2 linked regions of the Oryzias latipes genome follow. The protein of the gene in region 1 interacts with the protein of each later gene in a pairwise test. Links are inferred from orthologs where the notes say so. Each region holds a gene or a part of one and is shown on either strand. Other genes may lie near its edges.

Region 1 (4,530 bases):
ATTAATGATTCATCGTCTAGTTTTCTTCTGTGTAAAAACAAAAATCCATGTAAAGGCCTGAAAAGGTGAATCAGAGGAGAGCTGGGTCTCCACTCGTTTCTTCTTGTGAGTCCGTTTCCCGTCAGATCCGGAGAGATTCTTTCCGATCTCCTGACTTGTGCTGAATCTGTTCTGCCTGCAAGTCTCCCTGTTGAGGAATCAAAACCCCAGCAGCGGTTGTGTGACGGTTTGGGGTTTATTTAGGATGAAATCCTCCTCTTTCCTGTTCATTCACATGAAAAAGTCCTTATTTGTATGAAAAAGTTTGTGATGTTTAGTTAAATAATATTGTGACGCCGGCAGCTTTGAGGACGCCGACACTCGCAGTGTTCACTCGAGCCAACGGAAGGATCATGTAACGTCAAGCTCCGGGTCTCAGAATGAACGTATGACATGCAGGAGAATGTCAAGACGTGTGGGGGAAACGTGGGTTTCAATTTAAGCTCTGAAGGGACCCTCATTCAGGTCAAACGTCTGCATCTTTAGGTGGGAATTATTTAGTCTGAAATCTGGCAGAAACTTGTGACAAAACAGGTTATTGTCACTTATATGGGTCATTAAAAACTGAATATGTGATCATTTGGAACAAAATTAACAACCCAGAATCATTTAGGGCTCATTTAATCATAATCAAGGTAGGATTTCTGTGTTTAATTTGTGGCGAGACTCTTAACTTAGGTGTATATTTACCCTTTAGAATTGACTTGAACTGAATATAAAGTTTTTGTGGTTTTGATGACATGTTAAATAAAGATTCAAAGAATCGTTGTGTCCCAGAGAGATAATTGTCCTATACCCAACATACAGAATAAGAACAGTTTTGTGTCAAGAATGATTGGAAATGTAATGATTAGATTCTAGTTTAAGTATAAATTTAAAGAAAAACAATAAGTTTGAACTTTAAGCAGTGTTTAAGACCACTATAGTCTCCTTTTCTTCGTTTGATTTGGACGCTAAAGCTGTAAGTGTTTCCTCTGGGTGCTGTTGTAACGACCAAATGGTTCATAGAGTTTATGTAAAGCTCCAGAGAAAACGTTTTTTCAGAGACAGTCGGATGATGAATCAGAGACAAATTAGGATCAAGTGAATTAGAAAATGTATATATGACCTCAAAACTGTTTTAAACTCAAAAGTACACATTCTCCACATTGTTTGTTGAAATCTTAGAACATAAAATTGTAAATTCGCAGAAAAAAAAATATTGTAAGAAATATAGAGAAATAATAAAACAAGTAAGTTCAGCATTTGAAAAAAAAAAACTAAATTATTTTGTTTTATTTCCTTTTTTGGTCTTAAAATTGTTTCAATTCAGACTTTTCAAGTTTTCACTGCTGAGCCTATTTTGACGTAGGGGCGGGGCTTTGAACTATTTTTATTTCAAATTTGAAATGTCTGTTTTTCAAATGTCCAATCTGTATTTTTAATTTTCTCAAAGCTGATCCTAATTTGACCGCAGAAGAGTCAAAGTCACGTTGCTGCGCGTGCGTGTTGCCCACAAAAGCTGTGGAAAATTACTTTCCGTTGGTCGTTGGTGTGTTTGGAGGGGGTTTGCCGCCCTCTGGCGGTGCGCAGGCGCAGCTGCGCCCCGTAGTCCCCTCCCCTTTCGCCGCTTGTGTTTATGTGTATGTGGAACGCGGGCGAAGCGGAACTCACTCGAAAAAAAGAAAAAGAAAAGAAAACAGCGCTTCTTATCAAACTCTGCCACCAACTTCCACCGGCCTGGCGCGCTTTGTATGTACCCCAGAATTTACTCGAACTCACTTACTACCTGCGCGGTGTAACTCGGTGCTCTTATCGGGGTATTTGGGCGACTTTTACCCGTGGCAGTGTTACGGTCGCAGCAACGATCCGCTAGGAGAACGCGACATCGTCATTTAAAATGGCGCCAAAGCTTAAGTTGAGGCAGGGGAGCGCAGGTAAAACATGCCTCCCTGCTGCTATGCCGCGCCGCCTCCGTCATTTCTAATAACTTGTGTCGCTCATGCATTCACGCTGGCCGTGGAGTAGGTCTTTGACCTTTAACCTTTGTCCTAAAGCTCGTGGTGAGTTGGTTTTAAACCAGGAGAGTGTGCGATGCTAGCATCGGTGGCTAATGCTAAACACAAATCGCTGTCACTGACGTTAGCCTGCTGCTAAAAAACAGGTCAAAGCAGTCTTGTTCTTTTAAGCAATGGCTTAGCTCTATTTCCTAAAAGGTTTTTTATGAATATACGCAGAGCCAATTTAACAAATTTATGCATTTATTGATAGTTTATAACCTTAAAACTAAAATGCGCGGTGAGTGGGTGGGCCCGCGGTTAAGGCATTAGCATGAAGCTAATTCGAGCTAGAAGCTGCTTTAAAGCCAGGACGTGTGCGTTAAATTACAACCATCCTCTATATATAGAATAACCCTGTGTGTTTTTAACGGTTTGCAGGGCTAACAACGCTACATGTTGCTACATTTATCACGTTCTGCTGCTGTTGTTGGCTCTCCAACGGAGCGTCACTCGAACTGTCCAGAACCTCGCGGTGCTAGCCGACCCCGAAACCTGCCGGGGCGGGTTCCTGGGGCTCGCGCGCGGCAGCCCGGTAACGGCTGGTTTCGTAACTCGGCGGGTCGCTGCTCTGTTTGTGTCGCATCTTGTGGAAAGTTGTTGTCATCGCCCGCACACGTCCCTGACGCTGCGTCATCACCTAGGAAACGGGAGCAGGCCTTTCCTGCATGCGTGTAGCCCGTTTGCCTCTGCGCGCACTGAAGCGGGACTGGTGTTGTTTGTAAGAAAGTCTGGAGCTGTTGGGATGTCAGCTTCTGGTGTCGCTGCATCAGCTGTTACCACCATGATTCTGCAGGTTTGGGGACTTTTGCAGAGGTTTTGTGTTGATGGAACCGACCTGGAACTCCAACCACCACATTATTCCTTGTTGTTTGTTTGTGTGGGTGTGGGTGTGTGTTGTTAGTCGGGAGTTTCTAACCATTTTAGTCTGACTGAAATGAGTTGTATTTCATTTGTTTGTAACAGTTTCTCTGTCTGGCTGTTTTCTGAAGTGTTGATAGACGAAGATGAAGAGGAGCCGGCACCTCAGCACCAGTGATGACTCAGACAATGGCAGTAAGTGCTGAGTCACCTTTAGACTTAATGTTTAGACGCCATCCAGATGCAGCGACTCTTCCTCTCACTCACAAGAATATCCAAAGTTGACATTTAAATCAAGTTTGAAAGGTTTCTTGGAGTTAGACGATAGTCTGTTGTCACTTTTTTGTCCTGAAAATGTTTCTTTTTTTTAAATGCAAAGTGAGTTTGTAATTCGTGGTCAGGTTTCACATAGAGGAAAACCGAGGTCAACCGGTTAAGACCTTCTGTTTGTCAGAAGTAAATGATGGTGTTTGGACTGTCTTATCTTTATGGACGCAGTCAAACAAACAGAAACAACTGGTAGGGACTGATAGCAGCCTCCTCTGCTTCCATTTTCTGGGATTTTGCAGCAGAAAACCAAACCTTTCAGAGGTTTAAGAAACTCTCCTTCCCACTTTCTGGTCTGATTGTTTTTGTGAGTTGTTTGTCTGAGCAGCAGGACTAAACTCTGCCATGTTTGTCCCTCAGGTAGCTCCACCTGCTGGTCTCATTCGTCGCAGCACCGGAGGGGCGGCGGGCAGAAACCCTCTGAGGTACGTCAGCATTTCTTGACGGCTGCGTTGTGTATTTGCAAGCCGTGGGCTGCCATTGTGTGATCTGTGAAGACTCTCCTTCATCCAGGATGGTTCCATGCCAAGAAAGAGGGTCATCTGGATGTGGTTTTTCACTCCAAAGCAGCTTTTTCTGCTTTGAATTTGTTAATAAGTAAAAACTGGAGCACATCAAGTGTCTTTGAGCAGACGGTGTAAGGAAAGGCTGACTATCTAAGTTCCAGAGCTTAGCATGTGTGGATGGAAACTTCTCTTATCTTCTGAACAGCGTGTGGACTTTGTTCCTGCAAGTCACACAATCTATCACTGCCTTCCTATTGGTGGCTTTTTGCTGCTGTTGCAATTTTTTAAATCCTGTTTTTTACATTTCTGGCCTTCAGTTAAACATTTATATGGAACAACTAATAGTTGTTAGGTCATTTTTTATGATATTTGTCCAATTTTTCCAAAGTTTACAGTGAGAACGGGTGTTGTGTTTTAGCTAGTGGGGGCAGACGGGCTGTAACTGAGCGCGTTCGCTTGTGCGGCAGGTTTTTAGGACGGACCTGATCACCGCCATGAAATTACACGACTCCCATCCGCTCAACCCAGAGGACTACTTTGTGCTCGCCGACCCGTGGAGGCAGGAGTGGGAGAAGGGAGTCCAGGTTCCTGTCAGTCCGCAGTCCATCCCACAGCCCGTCACCAGGTACCACGCACCCCGTTGTCTCCACGAGTCCCCGTGTTTTCAGAAAACCCGCGTCAACTTTTAAAAACCCCTTCGTGGATGACGCGGTCTGGGCCTGAGTCGTGGGTTGGAAACATGTGCCGTGTTCTGCAGAGTG
Region 2 (4,189 bases), about 13 Mb from region 1:
TAATGAATAATCCAATATTCCAGCTTCCAGGCCTCCGTAACTTTTTCTTTCAAGCTTCAGACAGCTAAGATTGCTAATCTTGCAAAGCTAGCTAAATTAGTCAGCACATACAACAAGTTGCATTAATTCTGCTCTTTTTTACGGTGATATTGCTTTGCTAGACCACAAATACAACTGAAATCAATTTTTTAAGTGTATATTCTTCATTATATTTAAAGTAAACTGTCTTAATCAGGTTGCCGACAAAAACGGCCCTGAAGTGAACGCCAACAACTGCAGTTGAACTCACCCAGTTTCTTTGCATTTATGAATCCCCGTTGCTATTATAAATTTCTGATTAACGCAGCCAAACTTCAGAAAAGAACATAGGTATTATCTTCAAATTAAGTTAACCCACCAACTACCATTTCCCGACGTGTTCTTCCCAACATATCGGTTTATTTCATTTTGGTTTATTGGAAGGTTGCTCCTAAAGATCACTACCGCCACCTTCTGGCCAGGAGGAGATAACACACTATAAGAAACATGCACGGATGTGAGAGCTGCTAAAATTTGTTAATTATCTTTAGCTAATTTAAAACTAATATCTATTTATAAACCTTTTTTGAATTTTCTAATAATACACTTTATTACAACCAAGTTTCATATAAATAACAAATCCAACTTCATTAAACCGTTTGAATTCAACACGAGCTTCAAACAAAACCCAGTAAAAATCACCAAGAATGAAAATATTGACATATGATGTAATAAGATATAATCATATTAGGTCAGTATTAGAAAAAGAAAGACAAAAGGGTGTTTTTACCATTTTTGTATTTGCTTAAGTCACGGAACAATTTACATCATTTTAAATATTCAAATTAAAGAAACTTTTATAACCAAAGTATTATAGAAAGGCTTAAGCAAAAATATGATATAAATTTTTAAAATAAAGTCTCAAAATTGTACTTAAAATACATTAAGATGCTCCGATTCTTAAAAAGATATCTGTCACACCAAAATGTCGAACTCTAAAACATCACAAAAGTAATGTTTATGTTACATAAAGCAGCTCATTTATTCACTTCTATTGGATCTAACAGATTTGGGGTGTCACAACCAAGTTTGAAGAAAAAAAACAAAACAAAAAAACAAATAGGAATAACGTAAGCATTTAAAATATACAGCACTGGGTAGACATAGAAAAAAAACATATTTGAATAACCACTTTTAATAAAAGGATAGGTTTGTTTTCTAAATTTTCAAACAGGAAACTATTTCTTAATTGAATTCTGTGACAACAGATCTGTTCTTAAGTTGCCTCTAGTTAACTTACTTTTATTGGTTGTTTTTTTACTGTCAGTAAAACTGTACATAAAGATCTGTATGTTCTTTTCATTGTTGGTATTTCAGATGGCTTCCTTCATTCTCCATCGCTGCTGTCACTGCCAGAATATGCCCCCAACAGGCTCAGAGATGAAGATCCATTTTGAGTGACATTCGTTTTTGAATCTGAAACCAAAAAGCAGAAATTCCATGACTTTGCCTTTTTAGACCAATCAGCAGAGTAGGATGTCATCAATGTTTTACCTGTGTGTGAGGTGGGAGCAGCGTTTGCCTCATCTGTGGCAGCTTTCTTTATGGAGTCTGCCGGTTTCTTTCGCACCACCAGGGAACTCAGTGACCCTTTGCCTCCCAGAGTCCCGACACTCATCTCCCAGCTTTCGACCTTAACCTTTTTCACTCCTGAAGCTGAGGATCCCTACAGAGTACAGCTCAAATCAGTCTGGAAGAAATAACATCTAAAAGGCTAATCCCGGTCAATAAAAAGCAAGACAAAATTGAAGCATTAACCTACACGTTTTTGTGCAATAGCGGAAAGTGTTTCATTGGTATCAAGTGGAAGGTGAGAAAACAGAAGAAGACAGAGCTGTCCCCATAATCTGCATATATCAATTTGGTTATGAACATGTTCGATCTAATCTACAAATCAACACATTTTAAATAAAATTTAAAAAGATAAATAGAATGCAAGGTTTGGAAAATTCCAGATTTAACCAATCAGAACCCTTTTAATCCAGCAAAAAAAACATGAATTTAAATTATTTGGCAAACCTCAGTTTCAGGTTGTTTGTCAGAGGTGAGGATGTCAGTCGGCTTGTCTGAACTGGACTTCTTCAAACGGCTTCTGCTTTCCTCTTCTTTCTCTGAATCAGAGTCCGAGTCTCTGAGTCTTTTCACGAGAGCCCGCTCCAACATCTCTCTGTAAAAAGACAACTTATTGTTTTTTTCTTTTTACCTGCACACAAAGTAGACCGTGTTCAATGGGACCGGCTCACTTTGTCTCACGCTCGTCCTCTTCTTTCTGCCTTTCCTTTTCTCTCTTTTCAATCTCTCTGTATTTGTCAATCATTCCCTCAAAGTCCACTTGGGCCTGTCTTTGATTCAAGTCTTTCAGCTCCTGCAGGTTCTCCATGACCTCCATCTCCATCTTGGAATCTTTGGTCCGATTCTCCAACACCTGCCAGGCGATCAAACTCACTTTTTTAACGTTCAACATTCTTGGGAATTTTAAGAATATAGAGTGGAATAAAAAACAAAAGCCACAGACCTTCATAGGATTGTTCAGCTCCTCATCGTCCCTCTCCTGTTGGATCCTTTTTTCTTCTTCTTCAATAAGTTTTTCCGCTTGGAAGTTTCGTGTGGCACCGTGCTCCATGGCGTAGTCTGTGTTCTCAGGGTCAGTCTACAATTCCCACACGAGGCATTCCAGAATATATAAAACCTTAAGACTAAAGCAAAGCTTTACATTTTCCCTCAGAAAATTAATCATTTAGGCTCACCTTAAATGTGATTTCAGCAAGACAGCGAGTGCACTTGATGTAGAAACGGAAGATTGGCAGTCCCATGTACAGCTCATTTTGCACAGTCTCTTTACGTGCATTAAACTTCTTACCCTTGTAGATGTATTCACCACATGTCTTGCACCTGCAGACAGACAGACAGACAGAGTGTGTGTGTGTGTGTGTGTGGGGGGGGGGGGGGGGGCATGCAGTTAAGGTCATTGACAAGTTAAGCTCTTGAAACTAAACTTTGTTTAAAAAAATTGGCTTATTGTATAAAAAGCCATGCTGGATCCTGGACAGACAAAACATTAAAAAAAAGGCTACAAATTGATCATACTTGACAAGAGATGTGTCACATTTTACAGCATGAAGCTTTAAACTAAAGAGTGATTCCAACTAAATCAGTGAAATACAGAAAAATGGTTGATGAACCTGGAATAGAAAAAGTCTTATGATTTATGTTTCTGTCCAAGTCTGTCTAATGATTTTATTATTATATTTAAACTTTGATTTATTAGATAGTAAAGCAGTTTCTACAAGTAGCGTTGCTGAAAATTGCATGAACATATTTTGCCCTCCAGGCAGTGACGCTGACTGTTCCAAATATGACTGACTTCTCTCTGGTTGCTTAAATCTACACAACCTGCCTTAATAAGACCACAGTACAACCACAGACTCTGAGACTCACAAACAGCTTCTTTCTATAAAGCATGAAGACTCACTCCAATGAAAAGTTATTTTTTAGTTTTTTTTTTTACATGTTCTTGTGGCCTTTTTCTCATGACGGAGGGCTATATAAAAATTAAGGTTAAAAATGCATTTCTGAGTATTCCTTTTTCCAAATTGCTGTGAATCAGGAACAAAAAAATACTGCTTGAAAATGTCTGTAGCAGTGACGTTAGTGCTACAGTCGGCGAACCACAAGCTCCCTGCCCCGCTCCTTTCCCACGCATCCACTTGCAGACAAATAGATCCATGTACGTCTTTATTTTATTGTCCAAGCTACAATATTAATCATCAATTTTGTTGCACCTGCAATGTTAGGTTGGGGGTTTGAGTGGCTGTCAGCTAGTGGGAAGAGAGCAGAAACAAAGGGATCATGGGAAAGTGTTGGTAGGCTGACACTGTTAACAGTCTCGCCCACAACTCAGAGGGGAAATGTCTTATAAACTACTGTCGCTCTGCAGAAACTATGTCCTAGAAAACGACACAGGTTTTTTGATTTTGACTAAAAATGCCAGCATCGCAATTAAAAGACCACTTTTAATATACATCAAAAGATAAATGGAGTGGGACTTAAAGACTCGTTGTGTATTGACCCTTCAGTCTATCAGGTTATTTTTTTACATTTTTTTTAACTT

The links.
Region 2: the proteins of jade1 (region 1) and ccdc94 interact in a two-hybrid assay, tested with the Homo sapiens proteins (2 studies listed by BioGRID and IntAct). The two-hybrid records come from large-scale screens. The link is inferred for Oryzias latipes from reciprocal best matches to the Homo sapiens genes JADE1 and YJU2.

Annotation. Positions count from the first base shown.
Region 1 is NC_019880.2:21,642,687-21,647,216, forward strand, and holds the start of jade1 (protein Jade-1), read left to right. Parts: upstream 1-1,578; 5' UTR 1,579-1,770; intron 1,771-1,783; exon of another isoform or gene 1,784-1,955; intron 1,956-1,961; exon of another isoform or gene 1,962-2,081; intron 2,082-2,163; exon of another isoform or gene 2,164-2,182; intron 2,183-2,216; exon of another isoform or gene 2,217-2,871; intron 2,872-3,041; 5' UTR 3,042-3,082; coding exon 3,083-3,131; intron 3,132-3,623; coding exon 3,624-3,688; intron 3,689-4,236; coding exon 4,237-4,394; intron 4,395-4,526; coding exon 4,527-4,530.
Region 2 is NC_019880.2:9,137,422-9,141,610, forward strand, and holds the end of ccdc94 (coiled-coil domain-containing protein 94), read right to left. Parts: intron 2,971-4,189; coding exon 2,826-2,970; intron 2,729-2,825; coding exon 2,594-2,728; intron 2,504-2,593; coding exon 2,322-2,503; intron 2,246-2,321; coding exon 2,098-2,245; intron 1,745-2,097; coding exon 1,573-1,744; intron 1,495-1,572; coding exon 1,406-1,494; 3' UTR 800-1,405; downstream 1-799.